Linked DNA regions of Sus scrofa. The protein of the gene in region 2 purifies or fractionates together with the protein of the main gene of each other region. This does not show direct contact. Links are inferred from orthologs where the notes say so. Each region holds a gene or a part of one and is shown on either strand. Other genes may lie near its edges.

The links.
Region 1: the proteins of LRP5 (region 2) and AXIN1 purify together in Homo sapiens (affinity purification with western blotting; 3 studies listed by BioGRID). This does not show direct contact. The link is inferred for Sus scrofa from reciprocal best matches to the Homo sapiens genes LRP5 and AXIN1.

Annotation. Positions count from the first base shown.
Region 1 is NC_010445.4:41,337,608-41,353,258, reverse strand, and holds the start of AXIN1 (axin-1), read right to left. Parts: upstream 8,352-15,651; 5' UTR 8,302-8,351; intron 7,862-8,301; exon of another isoform or gene 5,143-7,861; 5' UTR 5,061-5,142; coding exon 4,180-5,060; intron 1-4,179. UniProt on the Homo sapiens protein: Component of the beta-catenin destruction complex required for regulating CTNNB1 levels through phosphorylation and ubiquitination, and modulating Wnt-signaling.
Region 2 is NC_010444.4:4,550,842-4,565,832, reverse strand, and holds part of LRP5 (low-density lipoprotein receptor-related protein 5), read left to right. Parts: coding exon 1-217; intron 218-2,597; coding exon 2,598-2,797; intron 2,798-8,139; coding exon 8,140-8,348; intron 8,349-9,787; coding exon 9,788-9,978; intron 9,979-10,557; coding exon 10,558-10,767; intron 10,768-14,029; coding exon 14,030-14,155; intron 14,156-14,991. UniProt on the Homo sapiens protein: Acts as a coreceptor with members of the frizzled family of seven-transmembrane spanning receptors to transduce signal by Wnt proteins.

The DNA.
Region 1 (15,651 bases), on a different chromosome or scaffold from region 2:
GGATCCAGCATCATTGCTGCTGTGGCCCAGGACACTACTGTGCTGAAGGCTCCATCCCTGCCCCGGGAATTTCTACATGGCGCAGGCACAGCCAGAACAACAAACAAATGGACAATCGCTGAGTGCAGGTGCTAGAAGGGCTGCTGAAGAGTACAGGCTGCACCAACCTGGCCCAGCTCGGCACCCAGCAGGCAGGTCGGGCCAGGCCAAGCTTTTGAGGCGGAGCCTGGGCCCCAACGCCAAATCATTAAGTAAAAACACAGCCAAAAGAGCCGACCTGCAGCTCGGCTGCGCCGTCCAGGACCCCGATGCCTCCGACCGGCCCTGGCTCCTGCCCTCGAGTCTCCACGCCTTGTGGCCTAGGGGCACCGGAACTGCCGTGGCGACCGCAGAGCTAAACCTCTCAGGGCTGGGCCTGCGCGCCCCCGTCCCCGCCCACGCATAGATTGGCGGCCCTGCTGACCAATGGAGAGCGCCTAGGATCCACCGCTCCAGTCTCAGCGCACAGACTCTGGCCCGCCCAGCCTGCCCGAGCAGCCCCGCCCCCGCCCCACCCCGCCCCCGCCCACTGACCAATGGCGTGAGCCGCCGGGCACGGGGAGCCGCATCATCAGAGGGCCCTTTGCCAACTGACACCAAATTTAAGTGGTGGGGAGCTCTCACTGTGGCCCGGGGGTGACAAACCTGATTAGTACCCATGAGGATGCGGGTTCGATCCCTCGCCTCGCTCCGTGGGTTAAGGATGAGGCGTTACCATTTACTGCGGTATAGATTGCAGACGCAGCTCGGATCCCGAGTTGCTGTGGCTGTGGTGTAGGCCGGCAGCTTCAGCTGTGATTGGACCCCTAGTCTGGGAACCTCCATATGCCATGGGTTTGGCCCTAAAAAGACAAAAAAAAAAAAAAAAAAAAAAAGACCGAATTTAAATGGTGGGTGTGAATCAGCCAAAGTCACACATGCTCACAGTCCCACCAACAACAGGCAACAAGGACCAGGGAGACCCTTCGCAGAGAGACCAGGGGAGCAGCAACGAGTCTGGGGATGCTTCAGCCCGAGGGCTCAAAAGGACCCAGGTGAGCAGGACAAATGCAGAAAAACCCAGGGCCACCTCTACTCTTTCGGTTTTGACAAAGACCTAAGTAAAAGGCTCACCTGCTGTTTCTCAAGTCAGCGACAGGACAAACAGATGTGCATGCATGTGCGTGCACACTCGCGCTCCCCGGGGGGAGGGGCCTGCTCAGACCTGCACCCCGCCCCCCGTGAGGCTCCCCGTCTGGGCACCTCCTCCTCTGGGCGCCCTGTTTGGGGTGAGCCCAGCAGCAGGCCCAGCCCTGGCGCGGTCACGATGCTGGAACGGGCAGGACACTGGCACAAGCCATCCCTGACCACCAGGGCAGACGCGGGGCCCCCTTCTGTGCTTCCTTCAGTGGGAAGCGTCTGTTTACAAAACAAGGGCGCCCAGAGCCCGGAGCCACCCTCCAAGGCAAGGGAGCCCACCTGGCACAAAGCTGGCCACAGGAAGGCAGAGGCAAAAACACTCGGAAAGGGGACAGTTTCTGATAAAACTCAATTTGCTCTCACCATGAAATCCAGCGCTCAGGCCCCTGACATTCACCCAAAGGGGACGAAAACTCAGGCCCACACCAACCCCTGCACACGGGTGATTACTGCAGCTTTCGTCACAACTGTCAAACACGGCAATCAGGATGTCCTCCAGCAGGCGAGTGGGTAAATAAGCCAGACCACCCACGCGGTTCAGCACCAAAAAGAAATGAGCTTCGGAGCCACAAAAAGACACCGAGGAACCGCAAAAGCGTATTAAGAGAGAAAAGCTAGGAGTTCTCGTTATGGCGCAGTGGTTAACGCATCCGACTAGGAACCATGAGGCTGCGGGTTTGATCCCTGGCCTCGCTCAGTGGATGAAGGACCAGGCGTTGCCGTGGGCTGTGGTGTAGGTCGCAGACATGGTTCAGATCCCGAGTTGCTGTGGCTCTGGTGTAGGCCGGCGGCTACAGCTCCGATTCGACCCTTAGCCTGGGAACCTCCATATGCCGCGGGAGCGGCCCAAGAAAAGGCAAAAAGACAAAAAAAAAAAAAAAAAAGAGAGAGAGAGAGAGAGAAAAGCCAGCGTGAACAGGCTGCACGTTGCACAGCTCCAACTACATGGCTTTCCGGAAAAGGCAAAGCCATGAAGATGGCAAAAGCTTCAGGGGCTGACAGGGGCAGGGGCGGGGGCTGGAAAGGACGCGGAGGCAGAGCGAGACCACCCCATGCAGTTCTGCGACAGACACACGTCGCACACCTTGGTCCAAACCCACAGGACGGACCCCACCGCTGAGGGGCCTGGAGTGCAACCACGGACGGCGGGTGGTCATGCCATAGCTTTGGCATCTGAGACAAATGACCACTCTGCTGCGGGAGGCCGGTGACGGGGGAGCCATGCACACGTGGGGACACGAGTGTGCGGGAAACTGCGGCACCTTCCTCTCAACTCTGCTGGTGACCTAAACCTGCCCCACACAAGATCAAGTCGAGGAGTTCTCGTTGTGGCTCAGTGTAGCAAACCCGACTAGTATCCATCCATGAGGATGGGGGTTCAATCCCAGGCCTCACTCAGTGGGTTAAAGATCCGGCGTTGCCGTGGGCTGTGGGGTAGGCCGGCAGCTGCACCTCCGATTCGACGCCTAGCCTGGGACCCTCCATAGGCTGCAGGTGTGGTCCTTCGAACAAACAAAAAGAACACTGTCCTGACCAAATATGAACACTCTCAAGTTAGATTTAGATTTTCTTTTTTTTTTTTTTTTTTTTTTTTTTTTTGTCTTTTTGCTATTTCTTGGGCCGCTCCCGCGGCATATGGAGGTTCCCAGGCTAGGGGTCGAATCGGAGCTGCAGCCACCGGTCTACGCCAGAGCCACAGCAACTCGGGATCCGAGCCGCATCTGCAACCTACACCACAGCTCACGGCAACGCCGGATCGTTAACCCACTGAGCAGGGGCAGGGACCGAACCCGCAACCTCATGGTTCCTAGTCGGATTCGTTAACCACTGCGCCACGTAAGGTTTAAAGACCATGAGGAGGTCCCGCTGTAGCTGCATCCTGGGAGCACTGGGAGGCAGGTTCGACCCCCAGCCCAGCACAGCGGGTTAAGGATCCGGCACTGCCGCAGCCGTGGCAACTGAGGTTGCAGCTACGGCTCAGATCTGATCCCTGGCCCGAGAACCTCATAGGCCAAAAAAGAAAAGAGAGAGACAGTGAGAAAAAGGCAAACGAAAGTCACCTAGGACAGTGTGTCTGCTTCCCACCCCTTAGAGAACATTTCAACCCTCAGCACATCTAGCCCTGTGTTTGTTAGCAAGTAACCACTTTTTCTGCCACGAGAAGATTGAAGACGGGGTCCGGGAGACCAGCGCCGGGAGACTCGCCTGCATCATGGGGTCGCTTTATTAAATGCCAGCCTTTCAGCACCTCGCAGGCCAGGACGGGGAAGGGAGGGGAAGGGCTGCGACCGGCGGCCACAAGCTCCGGCCAGAGACCAAACAAACTGCCAGGAACCACAAGAAAGAGAACCAAGAAACAGGTTTCCAAAGTCCCAGCGACTTGCCAAAGGCACCGCTCCTGGCCTCCCAGCTGCCTTTGTGCCCACAGGCCACGACCATGACCACAGCTTCCGAGTCCCGGTCTGGGCAGGAGAAAGGGGTGGTCCTAGACCCACAAGCGCAGCCACAGGAAGTTCCCACGGGGCTCGGACCGCCTGCGGCACAGCAGCCTCGCCAGCAGCGCTTCCCGACCTCTAGGAAGAAGCTCGGGGGACGACCCGGAATTCTCCACGCACCGACGCCTTTCAACGTCCAGGCCTCCGCTCTCTGAGCCCCAAGGACCGCGGCCACCAGGTCAACACCCCTCTGGGCGAGGGGACACACACGGGACTGCTAAGGGTTGGACGCCACGTGGCGTCCAAGGCAGCCCACATTCCCAGCGCCTTCCGAAGCCACTCGGGTTGGGGCTGTTCTCGCCAAAAGCACCCTCCACCTGCCAGGCTCTGCACACCGTGTGACCTCGCACCCCGGCACCAGGCGTCCCGCCGCTCTGGGGCCAGAGCCGAGGGAGCAGCCCTTTCCCAGGCCAGTCCTCCAGTGCCCGGAGGCGAGCGTGGGACGGCGGCCTCGCGGGGGACTCACCTGAACTCTCTGCCTTCGCTGTACCGTCTACTCGAGCAGGCCCGCGGGGCGGCGGTTTCCAGCAGCAGCAGCGTCTGCGTGAGCCTGCCGGGCGGTGCGGGGTCTCCGGCGGCCTCCTCGTCCGCGCCTCGGTCGCACGTCCACTCCTCGTCCTCGTTCAGCGTGGGCAGGTATCCGGGGACCCCCTTGCCCGTGCCTGCCGCGGAGCCCGGCTCGCCACAGGCCTTGGGGCTCTCGGCGCCCGCGCGCGTGCACTCAGCGTAGATGTCGGACTTGAGGAAGGCGGGGTAGGTGTTGGCCTCCATGCTCGACTGCACCTCGGTCTGCGCCTGGTCGAACATGGCAGGGTCGATCTGCTGCTTGGCGATGCAGTCCTTGATGAAGCTCTTGGTGGCCGGCTTGGTCTGCCTGGACACGACGCCACCGCTGTCGAGGATGTACCTGCGGTAAATTGCTCGGGCCAGCTTCAGCCTCTTCTCCTCGTTCGAGTCGCAGGGCTCCAGCTTCCTGAAGCCGCTGCAGGCGAACCAGAAGTCCAGCAGGTCAGCGCAGTGCTCCTGCCTCAGGAAAGTCCGAAACAGGTTTATCCCGTCCTGATCGTCGAGCAGGGAGTGCAGCGACTCGGCCCACTTCAAGTACGGCGGGGTGGGCGAAGCGCTGCCCTCGGGCTCGTACCCCAGGTCCAGGTCCGAGCGCCTCGGCGTGGCTGTCGAAGTCTCCCCTTTAATCCCGGCACCTTTCCCAGAGCAGAAGCTGTGGCTGACGGGCCTGGGGTCTGTGGACACCAGCTCCCCCTCCTCACCAGGCACTGGGGGCCGGGGGGCATCTTCGGTGAAACTTGCGCCGAGGTCCAAGGGGAAGCCCTGCTCCTGGGTATTCATTTTGGGGCGCTGTGCGTCAAGGCGCAACGCGCGCTGCACCCTAATACATCAGTACTTACGGCTCCCAGGGAATCACTCTGGCCTGTTGAAACCATCAAGAGGACAAGGATTAGGAACAGTGGGGCCATGGAGACACGACCACAGAGGTTTTCTCAGACAAGCCTCGCAACGACGCCCTCCCGCTCAAAGCCAGAGACTCGGCTTAAATTCTCACTCTGTTTTTTTTCCAGAGGCCACACCCACAGCCTGTGGAAGGTCCCGGGCCAGGCATTGACCCCGCGCCCCCAGCTATGACCTGCGCCCCAGCTGCAGCCACACGAGACACTGAACCCACTGCACAGGGCCGGGGAGCGACCTCGCACCACCGCAGAGACAGCCCGGATCCTTAACGTGCTGCGCCACAGCGGGAACTCCCAAATTTTCAATCTTTGTCACCGGTCTTGTACCACGTGAAAACAATGTCTGGAAAGCTTTACAGCTCTAGGCACGCCTCTGGCGCTAAGGGATCAATGTCCCATGCCACTAGCTACAAGCGTCATCCTGCGAGAACAAAGAGGGACGGAAATAAAGCCCTGCCAGCATACAAACAGCAGGCGTGGATCTCCCCGCCACCCCGCCACCTGCCCCCATGCCTGCATGCGCACATTGCACACACTTTGAGGGCCGGCAGCTGTGGGGGGCTAGAGGAAGCACCCAGAGGTGGAGGATGGGTCACGGTTATGGACGGCTCTGCAGCTCATGACTTTCTATGAAAACCACTGGCAGGCTGAAGGGCTCAGGCTCAGCAGGAACAGCCTGCTTCTTAAGGTCAAAGCCCATGGGCTATGACACCCTGCTGCTCACGGACCACTGAAACTGCCAAGGTGCTTTTTGTCTGAGTGCCATCAACACGAACTGAGCACCTTTGGTGTCCCAGCTCCACAGCTGCTCGCGGCCATCCAGGGTTCTCCCGTCAAGGACACCAGCTCAGGAAAGAGGACCCACCCCTGGTCCCTGAGCCTCACCCTTGCAGGGATCCGCCAGCCTTGAGAAAAACACATCACTGTGTCTGACTGGGAGGCTAATTCCGAGTCACCGTCACTTTCTCTTAAAGTGCCCCTTTCTGCCACAGGAGTGGTCTGTGGCAGCCCGAGTTAAACATTTTCTGCAGGACTCACAGCATCTAACACAAGGTCCTGCAAGTAATGGGCACCAATAAATACTTACTTCATCGCCATTAAGGAAAACACCACCTACAGACGCTGAATGTTGGCTCTTCGCAGGCACTGAAGGACTGTGCTACAGAAAGAGCAGCCAGTGAAAGACTTAGTCCTCTGTCATGAAAATGCACTGCTTTAACGGACTAACTTTTACTTCGTGTGTGAACAAGCCCCCCATGTCACTTAAACTAGTTTTTCCTAGCCTAGAAGGAACATCTTAAAATCCATACCTATGTTCCGCTGTCAACGGACAGGAGAACTTCGGGGCCTTGGAAGCACGAGAACCTCGCTCCCAGTTCCTGCTGGTGCTGAAACACGAGCCCATTCCCGAAATGTCTGGGTTCCCACGGACAACTGCAGCGCACGTCGGGTGTGTGTACCACCCGTGAGGCATTTACATCCATTGAGGTCAGAGTCCAGTCCCCACCGACACTGACTCTGGCCCACGGTCTGTAGCCACCATCAATAAAGGGAAGCCACAAAGGGAATCGGAAACCCTGACACCTCACCGAAACGCTCCTTCGGTCCCTGCCAGGCATGCCTGGGCACCACGGCAGCTGCCTCGGTGCTATAGGTGTGTACGTACGCATTCATTTCACTCAAATATACCATCTGAATTGTTTTTTCTTTTTTCAGCCACACCCACGGCACACAGACATTACCAGCCACGGATGGAACCCGTGCAGCATCTGTGACCCATGCCAGAGCTTCGCCAACGCCCACTCCTTCACGCACTGCAACGAGCCTGGGATTGAACCAGCAGCGCCAGAGACAAGCCAGATCATTAACCCGCTGAGCCGCAGCAGGAGCTTCTTAGGTTCGAGGCGCGCAGAAACAGCAGTGCGACTCTGACACGTTCCCGTCGGCCCATTAATTAAACTCTTGAAAGGCCGGGCCCGCCGTTTCACATGTCATCCCGCCAACCAGCTAAATCCTCAATGACCTGTGTAACCCGAAAAGCTTTTCTGAAACTAGAAATCCAAGAAACTTCAACACCTGCTGAAAACCCAACAGAAACAATGCATTTGGCATACGCCTTCCCGTCCTCATCCTGGAATAGCAGCTCCTAAAATTGAACTCAGATACCGACCGCTATCTTAGGGGGCCAGGCTGAGCCTGCGTGTGTTCTCCAAAACAGGGCTCGGTCCCAGAACGCCTGAAATTCTTCCTGAGGAAGCAGAGAACACAAGGACGACAAAAAGGAGGGGCGGAGAGGCACAATAACTCTTTATCGGTTATCTAGAGACGGGCTGAGAAAAAAACACCCCCGAGGATTGGTGTATTTATTCTTCTCTGCTGTCCTGGATGCTAAGCTCTAAGTTTCACAGCTCTGGTTTCAAGAGGGATGGAATTCCAAAACGCAGGGTTGACGGAGAGTCTAAGATGTTCACCCAACAGAGAGTTTGGGGGGCAAGGCAGCCGCGGAAAGAGTAAAGCCACTCACGCGGGCCAAACCACAGCCTAGACCCAGCCTCTGGCACCGCTGCCTCAGAGGGAGCGCCCTCTTTGGGTCTCAGCCTCACTCACCTCTACTTTTTGTTAGAAGAGGGGAGGGACACTGCACCCAGGGTCCTGCTTCTGTCCGGGGTCCCTCTGCATCCCGCCCACACCCCACCCCATGCCCCAGGCCCAGGGACCACTGCACGCACCTGGCACCACCCCATCAAACAGCAGCTGCAGACCCCAGCCTCTTAGAGCAGGACCCCGCAGCCCTTCTCAGAACTGAGTCTTGCTCGCCCCCGACTAGAGCAAGTGGCTGCCCCTTCTGAACTAAATCCCAAACGCTGGCCCACCCGGAGACGCCAGTGTCAACGGCCCTCGCCTCCTCCATCACTCGCCAGCATCCCTTTTTGGACACACCTGCCCTCCTCAGAGCGGACCCACACCCCTTCCTCACACACTCAAACCCGCACACCCTCGGGGCCCGCACAGCCTCAGAGCCCCTCTTCCGGGTCCCGCGCCAGGCCCGGCCTGCGCGGCCTACAATGGGCGCCGCACAGGCCCGCGCCCCTCAGGAATGCGCGCCCGGCCGCACTACTCACCCGCGCGGCGGCGGCGGCGGCGGCGGCGAAGGCGAAGGCGGCGGCGGCGGCGGGGCCCCGGGCCCGGCTCCCGGAGCGGCACGGCGCGGTACGGCCCATGCGCTCAGCGGCGGCGCGGCCGGCGGGACGGGGCGGAGGCGCGGCCCCGGGCGGCCCCCATCGCGGCGGCGGCGGCGCGTCGGCCCGGAGGCGGGCGCGGGGCAGGCCGCAGGGGCGCCGCCGAGGCCGCTCGCCAACTCCCACCGGCCTGCTCCGCGGGGTCGCGGCTCCGGCCCGACTCTGGCCGGTGTAGCGGCGGTGGTGCCCGCGGTGGAGGCGGCTGCGGCGGCGGCGGGGGCGACCGCGATCCCTTCCCCAAGCCGGGAGCCCGAGCCCAGAGCGCCGAAGCCCAGGCCGGAGCGCCCCCGCCGGCGCCGCCCGGAAGTGCGGGGGCGGGGCCCGGGGCGCGGGGCGGGCCAAGAGCGCGGGGGCGGGCTGGGAGCGAGGGCGGGGCCTAGGGTCTGCGTCGGGAACGCAAAGCCCAGCCCTTGCGCCGTGACAGGGCGAAGAACGCGTGGGACGGAGCCTCTGATAAAGGCGACGCCCGGGCGTGTGGGCGCGGCCGAGGACGTGGGGCGGGGCCAAGAGAGTGGGAGCCGGGCCGAGAGCGCGAGACCGAGCCGGAGCGCAGGGAAGGCAAGACCGTAGCGGGTCAGGCTTCGAACGTGGGGGCGGAGCCTCGAAAGCTGAGGCGGGGCCAAAGGCGTCTAGGCGGACCGGAGGCGTGACGCAGAGCCCGAGCAAGTGGGCGGGCTCTAATGTGTCGGTGGGGGCGGGGCCTTGGTGGGGGCGGGGTCAGGGCTGCGTCGAGGGTGACTCGTGAAGGTGCGCCGGAAACTGCGCTGGACTCCTGGGGAAGTGGCTCGGGTACCGAGCGTAGGGACGAACGGGCCCCCTCAGTCGGCCCCGCAGGCGCACGCCGGGTCGCGGCCCTTTCTAGCCGCCCACATGGTGTCCACTGGCCCAGGGCTCCAGAGGTCGGCGCCCACAGGCCCCCGTAGCTCCCTGAATGGGAAGACCCTGGCAGGAGGACTGCCACTAGTCTGGCCAGGGCACAGAAAGAAGCAAGTGCCCAGGAGTTGGGCAGTTGGACGGCACAGCCAGGGTGACCGAGTGCTAAGCCTTTGGTGATATCCAGCGTCTTTCTCCCCCTTCTCCAGGCAGGCTGCCCCCGAGCCAGCCAGGACCCTACCAAGGTGGGCTTGGACTCTGCTCTTCCTAAGTCCGCAGGCAGGTGGGACCCAGCCTGGGCCAGTAGGCATCCAAGAAATACAGGTTGTCACTTGGGGAGGAGCCCCAACTTCCAAAGAGCTGTGGGCGGGACTGGCTGAGGCCTCACCCCAGCTGGCCCATCCTTCCTGGATTTCTCCCAGGTGCCATCCAGGGTCTAGACAGAGGCTCCACTTCCCACCACTGCCTACGGGCCACACTGGCCCAGGCCAGCCTGAGAGTAACGGCTTCTCGGTGTCCCACCCTACACCCACCACCCTTATCCCCCTTGCTGTTTCCATAGCAGCCCTTGCTTGATCTGCAAGCCCGGCTGACCAACTCCCCTGTTGCCCACCCACCACCAGCCGCTCCCAGAGGGAAGGATGTGGGCACCAGAAAGTGATTACTGCCCCTAAGGAATTGCTTCCGTCACCCCCGGCCCATGATCACCCAGGACTTTGTCCTCCAGCAGTGCCCCGTCAGACCTGGTGCCTTGAGAAATGCTCCAGTGGGCCACAGTGCCTGGCTGTACCCCCATTCTACCCACAAGCCACAGCTCAGGCCACACAGGGACCTTCTCACCTCCTCCTGGCCCGGGGCTCCCCAACCTCTCATGAGTCCCACAGCATCCCCAGCAGCCCTCATCTGGCTGCTCCCCGGGCTCTCCCAGCCTTCAGAGCCCTTCCCTGTGTGCATGCGGTCACTCGTCCATCTTTATGCTTTCATTACGCCCACCCCACCCCCAATTCCCCAGGTCAGCTCTGATGCCACCACATTTTCTCCTGGGCCTTGCTCACCCTCTCTGCCCATCCTCCTCATCTTCACAGCTCCCAGGCAAGGAAAGAAGTCCAGGCTTGTGGCACCCTAGCTGCCAGCCCACCTCCCACTCAGCTGCCCACTGGTGGCACCTGCCTGGGTGAGCAATACAGAGGCGTCCCAGCTCCCCGAATCCAGCTTCCCAGGACTCAGCACATCCTCTCACGCACTGTGTTTCATAGGAAAGGGGAGCAATGAGGGCCACCAGAGAAGCATTCCTAACCTGCCAGGGGCTAGGCCACCTCCTGGGGCCGTCACCATGCCCGGGGCAGGCTGGGCAGTGCGGGGGCTGTGGGTGGGGACAGCACATCAGAGGAGCTGAACAGCTGAACCCACGTGGACCCACTGGGGTCCTGGTGGCCGGTGTCACTCTCACCCACATCCAGCTGGGGTGGCCCTAGGCCTCCGGACGCTGGTACAGGAGATGCCTTTGCAGAGCCTCCCCCACCCTCTTCAGCCTCAGAACCTTAGAGACAGAGTGGGTGGCCTTCATGGCACAGCAGAATCTTTGTGGGGTGCAGGGAGTCCTGGGTAGGCCAGACAGACAGCAGGACCTTCTGGACGTTGGTCCTCAGGCTGTCACCCCACTCCTGGACGTGGGACCCCAATGCTTGCCTTGGTTTTGCAGAGGTGCTGTTGTGACCAGACCAGACTCCCAGGGTTGTGTCCACATCCATCCTCCTTCTGGCCCATGGCGGCAGGTGTCCCCAGGCCCTGGGACCAGAACAGGGCCCCCGCGCCTCCGGTTCCTCGGGGCCCTCACCCTGCGGAGACAGGAGGGAGTCAGAAAACCCGCTGCAGTGGTTCGTGGCTGTGGGCTCACATGGGAGCCTGGGGCAGTGTAGGGGTCGGGGCAGATAGAGGAGGAGGCTCAGGTCGTCTCTGAAGAGAGGGAAGCAGGGAGGGCAACCTTGGGGGCCGGCACTGAAGCAGGAGAGACCTGGCAGGGGGACCACATCAGCCACCCAGAGCTGAGAGCAGATATGGAGCTGTGGGCACCTCGTTTGTGAACCGCATGGTCCGAGGTGGAGCCCTCTTGTCGTCCGTAGAGGGACATGGAAGATGCACCCTCGGGGAGTTCCCGTCATGGTGCAGTGGAACCCCATCTGACTTGCATCCATGAGGATGCAGGTCCCATCCCTGGCCTTGTTCAGTGGGTTAAGGATCCGGTGTTGCTGTGAGCTGTGGTGTAGGTCACAGATGTAGCTCGGATCCAGCATTGCTGCGGCTGTGGTGTAGGCCAGCAGCTACAACTCCGATTCAACCCCCTAGCCTGAGAACCTCCGTATGTCATGTGTATGGCCCTGGAAAAAAGACCCCTCCCCAAAATGCACCCTCCCTGGGGGGACCAGAGGCAGCTGCAAGCAGCTTGGCTATGATAAACTATAGATGGCATTTATTTAGGCTTTCCAGAAACTAATGAAAAATCTTAAGGGAGTTCCCGTCGTGGCACAGTGGTTAACGAATCCGATTAGGAACCATGAGGTTGCGGGTTCGATCCCTGGCCTTGCTCAGTGGGTTAACGATCCGGCGTTGCTGTGAGCTGTGGTGTAGGTTGCAGACATGGCTCGGATCCTGCGTGGCTGTGACTCTGGTGTAGGCTGGCAGCTACAGCTCCAATTAGACCCCTAGCCTGGGAACCTCCATATGCCGTGGGAGCGGCCCAAGAAATGGCAAAAAGACCAAAAAAAAAAAAAAAAGAAAAATCTTAAGAGCAAAAAGGAAATTATTTTCTTCAACTTGGACACGAAAGGTATATTTGCGATACCAGGACCCCCGATCCTTCCACATGTTTGCCCACTTGGCCAGGGAGACCACTGGTAAGGAGTCATGCTCAAGACCACCCTGGGGAGTTCCAGTTGTGGCTCAGCAGTTAAGGAACCCGACTAGCATCCGGGAGGATGCAGGTGTGACCCCCTGGCCTCGCTCAGCAGGTTAAGGATCCGGCGTCGCCATGAGCTGTCAGGTAGGTCACAGACGAGGCTTGGATCCCGCATTGCTGTGGCTCTGGCGTAGCCTGGCAGCCACAGTTCCAATTGGACACCTAGCCTGGGAACCTCCATATACCGCGGTGCAGCCCTAAAAAGACAAAAAGAACAACAAAAAAAAGGCCACCCAAGGAGCAGGCAGAGGCTGCTGAGGGGCGCCTGGCATGGCGCCGCGTGTGCAACTGCATGGCGAGGTGAGATACCGACGAGCAGATCCGCACTGACCTCCGGGGAGTCCCAAGCCTCGGCTGAGCCCCTTCTGGGCTCTGTGTTTCCTGCCCCTCTGCCGGGTCACAGGCGGGAATGGGCAGTGAGCGGGCAGGTGAGGGCCCGGAGTGGGAGGGAGGGCTCAGCTCATCCAGTGGTGACGAGGGCAACTGGACTTCCCTTCTGAGACACAGCCCAGCCTCAGCGGTCAGGCACCTTCCTGGTGGAAAACCCAGCCCTGTGGATGCCATCTCTTGTCCCCGAGTGTCCTTTCTCCATCAGTTCTAAGCTCACCAGGGAGAGCCAGGTGTGTCCCCTTCCTGAGCTCAACAAGGATGTGGAGACATCCCGCCATGTGGAGAACCTCGGAGCTGCGCAGGTGGACCAAGAGAATGTGCGAATAAAGGCAGGAGTTACCCCAGGGCATGAGTACCAGTTATTGCTGGAGGGCGACTAGGGCGGGCTCCAGTCTCCTCATGCATCGGGAAAGGCCTACAAGGATCTTCCCGCTCTGATTTTAGAAAAGCTAGGAAGCTCTATAGCAGGGACCATTTTTCCATCAGCTGTCACTATGAATGAATCCGTCAGGGGGAGACAGGCAGCATGGTGAGGACACTGGGCCCCAGGACAGAGCTGACCCGCTGGGCAGTGTCAGGCAGGGTGTGACTGCCATGGGCGCCCAGAGGCAGCCCCAGGGCCAGCAAGAAGGTGCTGCCTTGAGCTTCCTGGGCTGCTGGCTCTGGGGCCACTCCAGGCTGAGCCCTCCCTGGGCCCCCAGGACGCCTCTTTCCGCCTGCCTCTGGCTTCTCTCCCTTCACCCCTGTGGGACAGACGTGTCCTCCAGGCTGGCCTTCTGCATCCCTCTTGCTCTCTGGAGTTCTCACGCCAACCTGCAACCGAAGCGACCGCAGACAGATGCCGCAGGAATGACCTGCTCCCAGTGCCGAGCAGGGAAGATGGGGGGACAGGAGCAGGGCTTGCCTTGGACGCCTGGTTCCAAGGTTAGCTCAGTGGTGACACATGCTCTGACCCTGTTGGTCTCTGTTGTCCAGTCCTGGGTGCCCTGCTCCTAGGAGACACCTCCTGCCCTGGCTTCTCCAGACAAGGGGGTCCCGCCCAGAGAAATGCACAGCGAAGCATTCAGCCATGGCTGGGCTGTGGCAGCCCTCGCAAAAACAGCCACCGTGGTCACCCGCTTGTTCCTGCTCACCTAGAGCCCAGCACCCCAGGCCCACCGAGCTGATGCCAGGTGGGTCCCATGGTTCCCGCACAGACCGCTCACCCGGCAGCCCTGACACCACCCTCACATCCCTGCTGGCCCCCAGGAGTCAAGGGTCAAGCCCAAGGCTGGCACACTCCCTCCCAGGGTGCCCTCCACACACGCCCACTGTGGGTTTCACCCCATGTCCTGCTGGGGTCCTGTCACTCCGGGCTGAGGGGCATAGCAGGGACACCTTTCTGCACCGCCTTTCTGGAGGATTCTGACCCCAGGGGTGTGTCTAGGAGTTGGAGACGGTCAAGCAGGCTCGGGGATGTCCAAGATGGCGCCAGCCAGCCACGGGGACCTGGGAAGAAGAGGGGCAAGCAGCCTCCCCACCCCCAACCCAGCACCCCCGGCTTGGGGGCCTTGGGATCATGCACCCAGCTCCTGCCTCCCCGGACACTTGAGCGCCTGCCTGAACCGGAGTCTCCTCCTTGGCAAGGTGAGGGTCCTGGCCTGAACCTGCCGGCCTCAGAGGTCTATGTGCGACCCTCCGTGAATGGGCCCAGCCCGCAGGACGGTGCCCAGGCTGGCCGTGGTCCAGGTCAGATGTTTCAGACGTGTCACAGAGGAAGGGCCCTGCAGGCCCCCAGCCCAGTGCCATTTCCCCATCAGCCATGGTGTCTGCCGGAGGGGCTGGGCTCCTGAGGGAGCAGCAGGTAAAGTCCCATCTTCCCCGGTGGCCTCAGGCTGCTCCCCCTCTGATCTTGGGGGGACACCCGCCCTCCCGCTGCACTGACTCTGATGCGGGCGTCCACCTCTGTCCTGGCTATTCCCTCTCCAGGCCACCCGGGCCCCGAAGGCCTCCCGGGTACCCTAAGCGCCCACGCCCTCCGCTGGTGACCGCGTCTCCTTCCTCCCGACCCAGCGCGTTCAGCCTCTCCAAGCCTGCGCGTGAGGTCCCAAGGACCAGGGCCACCCCTCGAGCTGACAGCCCGGGGGCCTGGGGGCAGGGAGGTGCTGCCCCAGGTGAGCCCTCACCCCCAGCCCGCCCTCTGCTTTGCTGTCCCTCCAAGTCTCTCTTGGCTGCTGGGAGCCCTGAGGCCGCGGCGGCCCGGTCATAAGGATGTGATTATGTATGCCGGTCCCTCCGGCCCCTTTGTTGCCGCAGAATCTGCCGTGGCAAACAAAAGTGCACTGGATTAGCCACAGTGGATTAAAAGATTTGCTTCTCAGAGTTTACCTAATAACCTAACAATCGCGGCGACGGAGGCTTTGAACCTCCGAGAGGCGCTCGCCAGGCCATCTGGGAGCGCTCGGCCTCCACGGGCGGCAGGACGGGTCGGGGTGACTCCAGGCCGCCTCCGCCCTCCTCACACCCGGCTCTGCCGCAGGGAGCGAGTACTCTCGGCTCCCGCCAGGCCGGTCGGGGCCAAACCTGGGGGGACAAGACCAGACTCCGGAAGACGGAGGCCCAGGCCGGGGACAAGGCCCAGCCAGGACTGCCTTCCAGAGGGCCTGTGGCCCAAGGCCAGGTGTGGGTGGCGGGCACCAGCCTGGCCCCCCAGGCACGTCCACACATCACAGCCAGCAGCAAGGACACTGGCAACATGGAGGGTGGCCGTGGCCGGCAGGTGACACGCCAAGCTCCACCACGCTGTGGCGCACGGCCCCGCTGCCGTCGCCCTCAACGCGCGTTCCTGCACACACGCGTGCCCGCGCGCACACGCACACACGAGCGTGTCCCTCTTTGATCTCTGAAGGACACTCCATTTACGAGCTCTCAATCGCAGCTGCCTTTCGGGGCCTGTCCTCTGAAGTCCCGAGTAATGGGATTTGGCGCTTCTGATCCATCTTGGGCTGACCGCTCCCCATTACAGGTGGACATTT
Region 2 (14,991 bases):
GCCGACAAGACCAGTGGCCGGAACCGCACCCTGATCCAGGGCCACCTGGACTTCGTGATGGACATCCTGGTGTTCCACTCCTCCCGCCAGGACGGCCTCAACGACTGCATGCACAACAACGGGCAGTGCGGGCAGCTGTGCCTGGCCGTCCCCAGCGGCCACCGCTGCAGCTGCGCCTCACACTACACCCTGGACCCCAGCAGCCGCAACTGCAGCCGTAAGTATCACACTCTCCCCCTGCACCACATTGGATCCGTCTGGCGGGTCAGGTAGAAAGACAGTTCTTGGCTGGAGATACCTGGGGGCACATGGACAGGTGGGCAGGTTGTGCACTGCACGAGTTGCAAGATGTTACCTGGAGGCTCAGGCTGGGTGGAAGACCTGTGGTTTCATCAAGACACAAGTAGATGGGCCAAGCCCTCAGCTGGCGCGTGCCCTGGGGGGCTCTTTGAATGTGAAAAAGAGCCTCTGGGGAGAGCCTCACAGAGCCAGGCATTGTTCCAAGGGCTTTTCATGGCACTTACTGGATCCCCAAGCCCACAGGGTCAGGAGTATCACTGTCCCGTTTCACAGACAAGGACCCCGGACACTGCGATGGCTACTGCCCAAGGCCACACAGCTCTTAAGACTTGAACCAAGTTTGAATCCAGGCAGGCTGGCTCCAGAGTCCCTGCCCTTGGCCCCTTGCCATGTGGCCTCCTGTCCGCTTGTGTGATCCTCTAAATTACGTAGGTTTTTTTGCTTTCATTTCAATAATAAGAAAAGCCAGGTCCAGAGAGCCCAAGAATGACTTTCCCACAGGCCTGCAGGGAGAACAGGTGCGTCCTGTTGGCAGGCTTTTCTCTGTGAGTCAGCAGAGAGCTGCTTATAACTCGGCCTCTGTGCAGCTCTGGACAGTTTATTTTATTTTATTTTTTTAGGGCCGCACCCTCGCCATATCGATATTCCCAAGCTAGGGGTCAAATCGGAGCTGCAGCTACTGGCCTACGCCACAGCAACACTGGATCTGAGCTGCACCTGAGACCTATACTGCAGCTCATGGCAACACTGTATCCTTAACCCACTGAGCAGGGCCAGGAATTGAACCCACATACCCATGGATACTAGTCGGGCTCTCAACCAGCTTGAGCCATGACAGGAACTCTGCAGTTGACAGTTTATAAAGCTCTTTGTGGTCCAGGGCCTTGCCTGAGCCTCTCACAGCCCAGGGCGTTAGGAGGGCTGGGCTTCCTCAGCCCAAGTTGTGTGGATGCGGGGCCCTGAGGCCCTGGACGGCCAAGGGGCTTGTTTGGGGCCCTGAGCTGGTATGAGACGAGCCTGGGGCCATGGCCTGGGACTCCCTTCTCCTGGGCTCCCTTTGGTCCTGTTGTCCCTCCCTCTGCCCAGGGAGATGTGACTCGGGCGCTGGCTCCCGTGGCTGGCAGGCCCAGGGCCACAGCTTGGATTCACGTGGCCCAGCTACGGCTCTGACTGTGACTGATGGCCCACACACATCCTGGGTGACACAGTTTCTGAACCCAGGCAGCTTTGCTCCTCATGGTCCTGAGGAATGTCCCCTCCTGGTGTCACGGTTCCCAACACACAGTTTTCAGCACTTCCCAGGAGCACGAGGAAGCACCTGCCGAATCCCAGAGTCACCCGAGCATCACACAGGCTTCACCGCTATGACCTCCTTCTGTCCTGAGGCTTGATCATCTGAAAAGAAATGGGGAGTTCCCACCGTGGCTCAGCAGTAATGCACCTGACCAGTATCCGTGAGAATGCACATTCGATCCCTGACCCCGCTCAGTGCATTAAGGATCCAGCATTGCCGCGAGCTGTGGTATAGGTTGCAGATGCAGCTCGGATCTGGCGTTGCTGTGGCTGTGTGCAGGCTGGTGGCTGCAGCTCCAACTTGACCCCTAGCCTGGGACCTTCCATATGCCATGGGTGCAACCCTAAAATAAATAAATAAATAAATAAATAAATGGATGGATGTCTAGTTTTAAAATAACACATGCAGAGTTTCCATCATGGCGCAGCAGAAATGAATCCGACCAGGAACCATGAGGTTGTGTGTTCGATCCCCGGCTTCACACAGTGGGTTAAGGATCCGGTGTTGCTGTGAGCTGTGGTGTAGGTCGCAAATGCGGCTCGGATCTGGCGTGGCTGTGGCTGTGACATAGGCCAGCAGCTGGAGCTCTGATTGGGCCCCTAGCCTGGGAACCTCCATATGCTGCGGCTGTGGCCCTAAAAAAAAATAGTAATAACAACACATGCACTTAGAGAATACTCAAGCAGGAGTTCCCTGGTGGCCTAGAGGGTTAATGATCCCATGTCACTGTTGTGGCTCTGATTACTACTGTGGCCTGGTAACTTCCACGTGCCGTGGGTGGGGCCAAAAATAAATGAAATAAAAAATAAGCATAGAGACTTGTGGAGCCACGTAAAATTCTCCACGTCCAGCCCTCCAAAACAGCCTTGTGTCTTTCCAGGCTCCCCCCACATCTAGTAGGTTGTTTTACCATAAGCTGCAACGCCGTCCTCCCCACCCACAGCCCACAGCCCCCGGTTGGCTCCCCGCCGCTGACTGCAGCCCGTCTGCTTGCCTCCCCCAGCGCCCACCACCTTCTTGCTGTTCAGCCAGAAATGCGCCGTCAGCCGGATGATCCCCGACGACCAGCACAGCCCGGACCTCATCCTGCCCCTGCACGGGCTGAGGAACGTCAGGGCCATTGACTACGACCCACTGGACAAGTTCATCTACTGGGTAGATGGGCGCCAGAACATCAAACGGGCCAAGGACGACGGGACCCAGGCAAGTGTGCCGACGGGGGGCCCGGGAGCCCGAGGAGCTCGTCCTGGCGGTGTCTAGGCTGCGGCCTCCTTTGCTTGGCAGAGGGAGTGCCAAGAGAGCCCAGGGCCGGGGGAGCCATGATTTGGGCTCCAATTATGTCATGACCAGATTTGAGAAAGCCTGCAGTTCTCTGTAGAAACTGGAATTTGCTGCTGTTTAAGTAGTGGTGGTGGGTGTCAGACCCCACGGGATTTTTTTTTCCTTTCCGCGGTGGTTTTGTGCAGGGATGCTTGGTATCAGCTATTCGCGACGCATCTTTTTATTTCAGGGGGTTGATGGCCAGTTCTGCTCTAATGCAGCATGCGTGTTCCTGAAAATCACCCGCGAGACGGGGGGGAACAGGGCTGGTGCACAGCGCTCAAAACTCCATCAGTGACACACGGGGGAAAAGAAGAGGAAGCTGGCAGTTCAGGGGCGCTGGCCTGCACGTGTTAAATAGTTCGGTACCTAATTTCTACAGCAGATACGGCGCAGGACTGGCCGCTTTTCTGTTAGGTTTTTGTGACCCACTCCAGGAAGGACATTGTCACTGCAGCTTCAGGGCACACCGGGTGTATCCACCCGTGTAGCAGGGAGCTGTGACCAGAATCCCTTTGATGTAGAATTTGAGGACACGCCTGGCTGTTCACACCAGTTTCTAAAGACTCCTTTGATAGGAGTTGCCGCTGTGGTGCAAAGGGATCCGTGGCATCTCTGCAGCGCCAGGATGCCGATTTGCTCCACGGCCCAGCACAGTGGGTTAAAGGATCTGGCATTGCTGCAGCCTAGGTCTGCTCAGATCCCTGGCCCTGGGACTCCATGTGCCCAAGGGACAGCCAAAAAAAAAAAAAAAAAAGGCCCTTTTTTGTTTTGGTGTTGTTTTTGCTTTGCAGAGCCACACCTGCAGCATGTGGCGGCTCCCAGGCTAGGGCTTAAATCAGAGCTGCAGCCGCCAGCCTACCCCGCAGCCACAGCAACTCGGGATCCGAGCTGCGTCTGCCACCTACACCACAGCTCACAGCAACTCCAGATCCTTAACCCACTGAATGAGGCCAGGGATTGAACCCACATCATCATGGATACCAGGCGGGTTCATCACCGCTGAGCCCCAGTGGGAGCTAAGAAAAGACTCCTTTTTACCAAAGCTCCACAACCTACCGGTCTCTTTGTCGACCAGTGGTAGCGTCACATCTCATGTCATCGTGGCAAAGTCTCGATGCTGTTACCACGGCGAGGGGCGGGGAAATTCTCCTGGGCGGAGACTTTCAGGTGGTTTTTGTGTCTGCAAAGTAGATGTTTCCCTTTCCCACCCCGAACCCAGGGCTGCCTGTGCGGCTGGACCTCACTTTTTTTTTTTTTCGGTCTTTTTGTCTTTCTAGGGCCACACCTGCGGCATATGGAGGTTCCCAGGCTAGGGGTCTAATAAGGGCTGTAGCCGCCGGCCTACACCACAGCCACAGCAACACCGGATCTGAGCCGCGTCTGTGACCTACACCACAGCTCACGACGAGGCTGGATCCTTAACCCAGTGAGCAAGGCCAGGGAGGGACCCCGAAACCTCGTGGTTCCCAGTCGGATTCGTTAACCACTGCGCCACGACGGGAACTCCCCGGGCCTCCCTTTTGACGAAAGACCTCATCCAGCGACAGTGGAAAGCGAACAGGCCGTCATCCTCTGCCGTCCCCGTGTCCTGGGTTGATGGTAAAATCCCTGCCGGCCCGGCAGCTGCGCTGTCACCTCTGTAGGAGCAGAGCCTGGTGGATTCCTTTCATCCCACTCTGAGCGCAGGTGACTGTCACTCTGAGGCCTTTGGAGGAACGGGATGTGTTAATTGCCGGACCGAGGCTTCCCTGCTGGGAACGTTGCTGGGCGCAAATTGCCTGAACGTCTGTCGTCTGTCTCTCGGAGAGGCGGAGAGGCGTTCTCCTGCGTCCTCTTATGGTGTCTGGCAAAGTCGGGGAGACTTTGAAGAAAAAGCCCCTTTAGGGGCACTTAATTTGGGAAACATTCATTTCCATCCCTGCCTCTCTTGTTAGAACTCCATCCTCTGGGGGCCTTAATTCTTTATGGGGGTCACCACCCGGCCCCCAGGCATGATGGTCTTGACTCTATAACTATTTGGCTGTTGTTTTTTTTACTTCATTGTTTATTCTTTTGTGGTGGAATATACATGACATAAAATTTACCATTTTAAACCTTTTTTTTTTTTTTTTTTGGCTACATCTGTGGCAGGCAGAAGTTTCCCCCCCAGCCAGGGATTGAACCTACGCCATGGCAGTGACCTGGGCCACTGCAGTGACAATGCCAGATCCTTAATCTGCTGAACCACAATGGGAACTTCCATTTTAAACGTTCTTTTTTTTTTTTTAAGGGGTGAACCTGCAGCATATGGAAGTTCCCACGCTGGGGGTCTAATGGGAGCTACAGCTGCCAACCTATGCCACAGCCACAGCAATGCCAGATCCGAGCCGTGTCTGTGAGCTCATGGCAGTACCGGATCCTTAACCCACTGAGCAAAGCCAGGGATCGAACCCACAACCTCACGGTTCCTAGTCGGCTACATTTCTGCTGCGCCACAACGAGAACTCCCATTTGAAACATTCTTTAAGCGAGCAGCTCAGTGACGTTAAGTCCATGCATATTGTGGCGCCACCATCAGCTCCATCCAGATGAAACTCTGTGCCCATTTAACACGAACTCTCAGAGTTCCCGCTGTGGTGCCACGGGATCGGCAGTGTCTCTGGAGCGCTGGGATGCAGGTTCAGTCTCCCGGCCTGGCATGGTGGGTTCCGGATCTGGCGTTGCCGCAACTGCAGCTTGAACCTGATCGCTGGTCCAGGAATTCCATCTGCCTCGGGGTGGCCTAAAAAAAGAAAAGAACAAAGCAAAACAAAAACCACTAACCCTCCCTTCCCCCCGCCACCCCCACACCGGTCCCTGGCACCTGCCGTCCTCCTTGCTGTTTCTGTGAGTTTGACAGCTCTACGTACGTCATTTAAGCAGAATCACACAGTATTTATCTTTTTGTAACTGGCTTATTTCACTTCCTCTAATGTCCTCAAGGTTCGTTGGCACCATAGCACGTGGCAGAATTTGCTTTTCCGAGCAAAGGAGGCCACAGCAGGCTCATGCGCTGAAGACCGCACCCTCTTTGGAGAGAGGAGGAGGTGGTTTTGAATCTGACAGCGCTAACGGCCTGAACGCAGCCAGAACACAGACTGGAATGTGAACCCACCTGCCGGGAGTCAAACCCAGCCTAGAACCAGATTGGGACAAACCCACGGTTTTTGTCTTTTCTTTTTAAGGCTGCACTTGCGGCACGTGGAGGTTTCCAGGCTAGGGGTCGAATCAGAAGCTGTAGCCATCAGCCTACACCACAGCCACGCCAGACCCAAGCCGCATATGTGACCTACACCACAGCTCACAGCAAGGCTGGATCCTTAACCCACTGAGCACGGCCAGGGATCGACCCCGTGTCCTCAGGGGTGCTAGTCAGATTCGTTCCCACTGTGCCACGATGGGACCTCCCAAACCCACAGTTTTAAATTAAAATCACTCACCCGGTGTCTGGACTCACTGAGGTTCAGGGTCTTTATGTCTTTGCGCAAAGGGATTCAGCGAGAGACAAAGCCACACGCAAGAAAGAGATTTATGAGGATGGGATGCTTGGACGAGAAGCAGGCGGGCAGGCGCGGAGGCGCTGCTGAATTTGCTTCCTCTTTAAGACCAACACATGGTGTCTGTGCAGCACGCGTTTTGCTGGTCCATCGACCTCAGCGGTGGCTTGGGCTGTGCCCTCCTTTGGGCTGGAGGGAGTCTGCAGCCGCAGGCTCGCCCACAGGCTAAGTGCCGCTTTGCACTGGCGAGGGGGAAGGGTGTTGAGCGTGCTGATGGAGAGGGTTCTGCCCCGGTTCGGCCCTGGCCGGAGGCCTGTTCCTTGTGTCAGAAGCGGGGTCTGGCTTCTCTGAAGCCGGCCCAGCACGTGCAGTCTGTCTCCCGGTTTCTCTGCCTGGCAGGGCGGGGGCGGTGTGTGGCTCCCCTGGGCACGTTTGTCAGCTGGTTGTTCTGATGACTCTGTGCCCAGCTGCCCCGTTACCCGCCCTGCAGTCCCGCGTCCGGCCAGGGCGAGCTGCAGTCTTGCTTTCCGCCCAGCCCGTTGGCCGCCCTGGGCTGTGGTCCGTGACTCCAGGGCTGTGCCTGCTTAGAGCTGACGTGTGGCTCCTTGGGGCTGCGCACGTCGGTACGTGCAGAGATGCGGGTGACACTTCCAGCTGCCCAGTGGGGCTGGACCAGAGGCCGCTGTGGGCGGGGGCTGGAGGGGGCTGTTCCTCTCCAGATGGGTCCAGGAGGCTGGGCCTGGGGAAGGGGGCTGCTCTTTGGCTGCCAGCCCCCTCTTACCCCCGGGAGATGCCTGGTATCACCTGCTGGAGCGAGGTGTAAGTGGAGAGTCTGCTCTGACCCCAGCCTCACCCTGAGAGGCTCCCTCCTCAGAGCAGGGAGCTCTTCACCAGGCCATTGGCGGCGGTGGCCCAGCAGCTTGGGAAGCCCTTGGCACCAGGTCAGGCCACGGGGACCCCAGGGGACCAGATCCACCGGGGAATCAGGCCCAGGCCTGTGAGGAGAGGAAGCTCTGGGCTCTCCTGCTGCATCAGCTCATGAAACAAGGTCCCCTGCGAAGGGGACTCTGCCAGTGGCTCCGGAAGCCGGGCTCATCCCTGCGAGGGCGGATGGCCAGGAGTCAGGCTGCGCCCCTGGGGGACCCGCAGGAAGGTGGCGAGGACTGGCCTGAGAGGGGCGCGCTGGCCCTGGGCTCCCAGGATGTGCTGTGGGCAGTCCCCACCCTCGCCAGGCCTCCTCCCCGTGGCCTCTCTCCCTCCGGGAAGAGACTTGTATGAAGTGGCCCTCTGTGTGGCACCTGCTGTTCTAAAGCCTCAGCTTAAGTAACAGTAACATTCGAGTCTTAATCCCAAAGCCTGAGTCCACGGAAGCAAGGAGAGGGAAGGTGTCTTGAGCTGGGGCCCATGAACCTGGGCTGACGGCTCAGCGGGCAGGCGGGCCCCTGTGCTGCAGGGACAGGCCGGTCTGGGTCGGGTGGCGGCCAGCCCGGCCCAGTGCAGTCCCTGATGGCTGAGCCTGGGGTCCGAGCTGACGGGCGGGAGCTGTCCTAGGAGTCAGTGTCGCTCCCACATGGCCGTTTGGGCAAGAGCCGGTTTGAAAGGACAGGTGCCCCGTGGGGGGCTGACCTTTGGTCTGAACGCGGCCATCGAGGGCTCTGCCCTCCCTGTGGTGTCCTTAGCTGGTGCTCGTGTCCCCCTGTTCTGCAGCCCTTCGTTCTGACCTCTCCGGGCCAAAGCCAGAGCCCAGACAGGCAGCCCCACGACCTCAGCATCGACGTCTACGGCCGGACACTGTTCTGGACGTGCGAGGCCACCAACACCATCAACGTCCACCGGCTGAACGGGGACGCCATGGGCGTGGTGCTCCGGGGGGACCGAGACAAGCCGAGGGCCATCGTCGTCAACGCCGAGCGAGGGTACGGGGCCGAAGGGGTGGGTGGGCACCGCAGGGTGGGGTCTGCACTGGCTGGGGGGGTGCCCGGCGTCCGTCCCGTGAGCGGCAGCCTCTCGAGCCAGGAGGGCTCTCCCACCCGACGTGCCCGTCCGCCAGGATCTCCCCCGGGTTCCCGCCACAGCAGCTGGGCGGGTCGAGGAAACACTGACTCTTCCCCAGTCTTGGCGGGGAGTCAGAGACCCCGGGATGGCCTTGACTGAAAGCCTCTGCAGGGGCCCGGGCTTTGCTGAGAAACACAGGAAGGTTGTAAGTCCTCGTTCATGGGTTTCGTACCATCCCATCAAACTTGAACCCTGTACAACCACCCCTTCCAGGCGGTGGTGGACTATTTACTTGCATATGTCCCACCGCGGGGAGGTCACTACCTAACTGGGAGCTCCTTCCTTCTCTGAAGCTCCCTGCTGCTCCCACCGTCAGCCCTCGGGTGCCCTGGTAGGCAAGAGAGCGCCCGGGACACTTTGATGGATGCCGAGGCTCCCAAAGGGGAAGACCAGGATGGGAGGGGACCCAAAGCCACATGACATGGGGTTCAGAAATAAAGCCAGTCACAGGAAGGTTTGGGGACAGGAGCAGGAGCACGGTGGCCACCTCAGGTACCCGCAGAGCTGACACTCAAGGCTGGAATCAGACCCGTCCAGGCACTGCATCAGCTCTACAGAGCCGAGTTCAAATCCTGGCCCCATCACTTACTGCCTGAGTGACCTCAGGCAGGTGACAAACCTCCCAGGGGCTCATTTTCCATGTGAAGACAGTGGTAGAGCCAGCCCCACAGCACACGAGGGCCCAGTCATTTAAGGGGGCTCTTCAGCAACCAAAGCATGGGAGCGAGGACTGGTGCCTGGGGCCGCCGCCACAAGTGACTGCAAACCGGGGATTTAAAACAGCAGGTGTTTGTTCCCTTGTGGTTCTGGGGACTGCAGTCAAGTGTGGGCGAGGCCGTGCTCCCACCTGAGTCTCCAAGGAGGAAGCTTCCTGCCCTCGGCTTCTGGGGCCCCAGCCGCTGCTTGGCCTGGGCTCGGGGCCGCATCCTCTGAGCCTCCGTCTTCACGTCAGCTTCTGTGTATGTGTGGCTGCTCCTCTCTCTCTCTCGAAGCCACTGTCACTGGTTGAGGGCCCCATCGTAACCTGGGGTGGGGCCTCACCTTGTCCTAAATCACACCTGCACAGACCTGGTTTCCACATAAGGTCGCGTTCTGAGGCTCCGGGTAGATGCAAGGTTGTGTGGGACACTCTGCAACCCCTCCAGGGTGTGACTTTTTCAGCTCCGGGGCCCTGAGAGGCTGGGGCCATGTGATGGGTGACGGAGCCCCGCTGGGTGCCCCCAGGGCTGGGGGCAGGTCTGTCCGGGGCTTTGCGCGGAGCTCCGTCCGCAGCAGCATCCCTCACCCGCCCCTCCCGCAGGTACCTGTACTTCACCAACATGCAGGACCGGGCGGCCAAGATCGAGCGTGCCGCCCTGGATGGCACCGAGCGTGAGGTCCTCTTCACCACGGGCCTCATCCGCCCCGTGGCCCTCGTGGTGGACAACGCGCTGGGCAAGCTCTTTTGGGTGGACGCAGACCTGAAACGCATCGAGAGCTGCGACCTGTCAGGTACACGCCCTGGGGCCTCCCCGGGGATCCGTCCCTCGGCAGCCACCAGGTCTGACCCACCAGGGCCCTCCTGGTCGTCAGTCACAGGGTGGCAGCGGGGCCCGTGCTGGGGCTTTACCACGCATAGTCCCCCCCGTGCGTTCCAGGTCCCAGATGATCCCCTGGGCTCAGAGAGGCTGAGCCAGCTGCCCAGGGCCCCACAGCGTGGGGTAGAGGAGGAATCCTACCCTCTGCCTCTCGTGCCTGTTCTCGCAGCTGCTCTGGTGTGGAGGCCCCTGGGCTGGAGAGGCGTGAGAGTCAGTGCTTGGAGGGGCTTTTCCTCCAGAAGTTGGGGGGGAGGGGGCTGAGGGGAGGGAAGCACCCTGTTTTCAGGGGGCTAGTGACTGCGCCCCAGATTTGGGTTATGGCCCTGGCCCCGAGGCCAGCCCAGGTGGGAGCAGGAACATCCGAGGAGGGACCTCACATCTGCCTGATTCCAGGGACTGTGTCCCAGCCCCAGCCCCCCCCGTCCTCCCAAGTCAAGGGAGGGCCGAGCTCTCGGAGTCAGCTGCCACTCAGGGCACGCCGTCCCTCCTGCAGGGGCCAACCGCCTGACCCTGGAGGACGCCAACATCGTGCAGCCCGTGGGCCTGACTGTGCTGGGCAAGCACCTCTACTGGATTGACCGCCAGCAGCAGATGATCGAGCGCGTGGACAAGACCACGGGGGACTCGCGGACACGGGTGCAGGGCCGTGTCGCCCACCTGACCGGCATTCACGCCGTGGAGGACATCAGCGTGGAGGAGTTCTGTACGTGGGGGGCGGCAGCAGGCGGCGGTGTGTGCAGGGTCCCCGGGGAGGGTGGGCGCCTGCACGGAGCACATCGCCCCCCGACCTGGTCCCCTTGGAGAAAGACAGGAGGTTGAGCCAACGCGAGAGTTGTAGGATTGAGGCCCTGTTTGCGTTCTGGCTTTCAGCCAGGTCCACTCTCAGTTCCCAGAGGCCACCCTCAGGCTCTCACCGTGTGCTCCCCGCCCTCAGCAACAGAGCAAACCCCTCTGGCTTCCTTTTCTACCACCTGGAACCCGCCCTGCGTTCCAAGGGCCAGAGATTAGATTCCGGCCAGTTTTCAGATTAGCTTCCCTTTGACTGATTAGTAACCTTAATTACATCTCTCAACGCCTCTTGCCAAGGAAGGTAACAAAACCCCAGACACGATAGCTCATCCCAGCTGGGGAGTAGGGTGGGAACTTCGGGGGTCATTGTAGGAGTCTGCACTGTGCCCACGTGCCTGGGGGAGGGTGGGTGTCCCCCAGGGACCTCTGGTCCCTCCACCCCCTCTGTATACGGCCATACATGTGTTTAGAGGCAGGTGGGCATACATGTATGTCTGTCCCTCTGTCTTCTTGCTTTTCTCTCCTCGTTCCGTAAATACACCTGGGCTGCCAGCTGGGTGAACAGGGCCTTTGCTGTCCTTGTCCTGTGATACCCACTGTCTGGCCGCCTTCAAGGCCCGGGGGGCTGCCCCCCATCCCAGCCCAGCCCGTCACCTTGGCCTCCCACCTCGGCCACACCCCCGAGGTTTTGACTGTTCTGCACGCCAGGCCCTGTGCCCAGTATATTATGACGTTATGTGTGTTATTTCACAATAATTCTTTTACGGTTGAGGGAGGCAGGGCTCAGAAAGGGTGTGACGCCACCCTGTCACCCAGCCAGTAAACACGATGGGGCTTGGATGTGAGGCCAGAGCCCATGTTTTAGGCACTGGGCTTTTTTCTGGGCTCCCTGCTCAGAACTGGAGTCAGGACCTCTAATGCTGTGAGTCTGTCACCCCTGGGTTGACTGCTAGAGGGTGCTTTCTGCCCCGTGGGTGCTCAGCTGGGTCCCAGGTAAGAGAAATCACTGGACGACCAGCTTCCAGGGAACCGGGGCCCGCTGTGCCTGTGGGTTAGACGCCTGCGTTTACCTGCCCCTCACACCATCCTCAGCAAAGTCCTGGATTCCTGTGTGTCCCTGGCAGATGGTCAAAACAGAGATGCTGGTCCCACAAATGCTGAGACCACTGCCTGCTGGTGTCGCTGAAAGCCAGGCAGCTGCGCAGAAGCTCCTTGGAACTGAGGGGGCAGGGGGGCCAGGAGACATTCAGGGAGCAGGTTTGAGGCTGGAAACCGGGGATGTGTCCCCGAGCACGAATGTGCAGGGACTAGGGTGACAGAGAGAGGCTCTGTTTGGGGCAAGGGCGGGAAAGCCTTAGGATGTGTGTCACCCGGCCTGCTGCCCTGCAAGATCCCACAACTGGACTCTGGACCAGGGTGGACAGTCGGTGTGTGTGTCACCCTGGCTGCCTTTGCGAGGCAGCTGGCTGACTTGTGGAGTCGTGACAGGTGGCCTGGCTCGTGAAGCCAAAGTTACTTTCCGATTCTTTATGGAAAATGTTTGCTGGCCCTACTCTAAACGATGACTCTGCCATTTTCCATTTATTTATTCATTTATTTATTTTGGCTTTTCAAGGCCGTAACTGCAGCATATGGAGGTTCCCAGGCTAGGGGTCTAATCTGAGCTGCAGCTGCCTGCCTACGCCACAGCCACAGCAACACCGGACCCTTAACCCACTGAGCAAGGCCCGGGATTGAGCCTGCATCCTCCTGCATACGAGTTGGGTTCCTTACCACTGAGCCACAGTGGGAACTCCAGATTCCTCCATTTAAAACACCTAGTTGTCAAGGTTGAGGGGGAGTTTGACAACACTGATTTGTCTCTGGGGGTGGGAGCGAGGGGCAGAGTCATTTCCTCCCACCTGAGGGAGGTCAGCCCCCCTCCCAGGCTCCTAAACATTGTCCAGGTGTTGGGCACGTGAGGTTTAATTGAATTAAAATATTCAAGTTCCCAGGGGTTCAGCATCCTTGTTATCTTAGTTCTTGTGTGTAGTAGTCTTCTGCAGTTCCCGTAACAAATCACCACAAACGGGGTGACTTAAAGTAACACGAACATGTTCTCTTACTGTCTGGAGTTCAAGGTCCAGGTGTCTGCAGACTGGGCTCCCTCTGGAGGTTGGGGTGGCTGCGGGGGGGGGGTTCTTTGCGCCTCCCACTTCCTGTGGTTACAGGTGTTCCCTGTGTCTGCATCATTTCAATATCTGCCTCTGTCTGCACATGGCCTTCTCCTCTGTCTCCACTTCTTGTGTCATCTCTCTTTTTTTTTTTTTTTTTTGGCCATACACAAGGCATGCAGAAGCTCCCTGGCCAGGGACCAAACCCATGCCAGAGCAGGGACCCACGCCACAGCAGTGGCAATGCAGGATCCTTAACTCCTGTCATCTCCTATAAGGACATGTGTCAGTGAATTTAGAGCCCACCCAGGAGTTCCCATCATAGCTCAGTGGTTAACGAATCTCACTAGGAACCACGATGTTGTGGGTTCGATCCCTGGGCTTGCTCAGTGGGCTAAGGATCCAGCGTTGCCATGAGCTGTGGTGTAGGTTGCAGACGCGGCTCGGATCCCACATTGCTGTGGCTCTGGCATAGGCTGGTGGCTACAGCTCCGATTAGACCCCTAGCCTGGGAACCTCCATGTGCAGTGGGAGCGGCCCTAAAATAGACAAAAAAAAAAAAAAAAATCCAGAGCCCACCCGGATAATTCAGAAAAGACCCCTCTCAAGATCCTTAGCATCGTTATATTTGCAAAGACTCTTTCCAAATGAGGTCTCATGCGCAGATTCCAGGCAGTAGGATGTGGACATAGCTTTGGAGACCACTACACCGCAAGAGACAGACACCTAGGTAGGCAGCATAGAGTGACAGTTGTGGGCTCAGTGGAAGCTGGCACAGATGAGCTGGGCTGTGACGCTGGGAAAGTTCTCTAAGTGCTTTTGGCCTCCATTTCTTCATCTGCAAAAGGCAGTGTCAGTAGAAACAGGCTACATGGGCTGCCCTGAAAATAAAGTGGGAGGATCTCCTACACTCTTACAGGAGTACCAGTTCTTATGAGTTCTTGCCTGGCCCCCATCCCCTCCATCCTTTGGGCCATAGTCCTGAGATAGGAACCCAACCCTCTCCCTTTTTTCTCTCCACAGCAGCCCACCCTTGTGCCCGGGACAATGGCGGCTGTTCCCACATCTGCATCGCCAAGGGTGATGGAACCCCACGGTGCTCATGCCCAGTCCACCTTGTGCTCCTGCAGAACCTATTGACTTGTGGTGGTAGGTGTGACCTCAGCACTTTCTTTTGGGACACTGAGCAGGGACCTGATTCCTCTGCCTGTGAGGTTGCTGCCAGGCACCTTTTAGATATATATTCCTGGTAGCATACAGTTTCCAAATCAGACTGTCTCTTTGTTTGTCCTCTTTCCTAATATAGGTATATCAGGGCTATGAATTTCCCTCTAAGCACTCCTTTTGCTGCATCCCACAAATTTGGATAAATTATATTTTCATTTTGCTTTTTTTGTCTTTTTGCCATTTCTTGAGCCATTTCCACAGCATATGGAGATTCTCAGGCTAGGGCTCTATTCAGAGCTGTAGCCACCGGCCTACGCCAGAGCCACAGCAACGTGGGATCCAAGTCGAGTCTGCAACCTACACCATAGCTCATGGCAACGCTGGATCCTTAACCCACTGAGCAAGGCCAGGGATCGAACCCGCAACCTCATGGTTCCTAGTGGGATTCATTAACCACTGAGCCACGACGGGAACGCCTATATTTTCATTTTGAGTTAATTCAAATATTTTAAAATTTTTCTCAAGATAATTTTTTGGCCCTCGTGTTATTTAGAGATATGTCATGTGATTTCCAAAGAGTTGGAAACTTTCTAGCCATCTTGCTTCTAGTTTAATTCCGTTGTGATCTGAGCACCTGCTTTGTATGATTTTCATCCTTTTAACTTTGTTCAGGTAATGTTCTATGCCTCAGCATGCTCCACTTTGGGGAATATTCCATGTGAGCTTGAGAAGAACGTGTCCTCTCTTATTGGGCGGCGTGTTCTGTAAATGTCAGTCAGATTCAGTGCTGTTCAGGTTAGCTATATCTTTCCTGACTG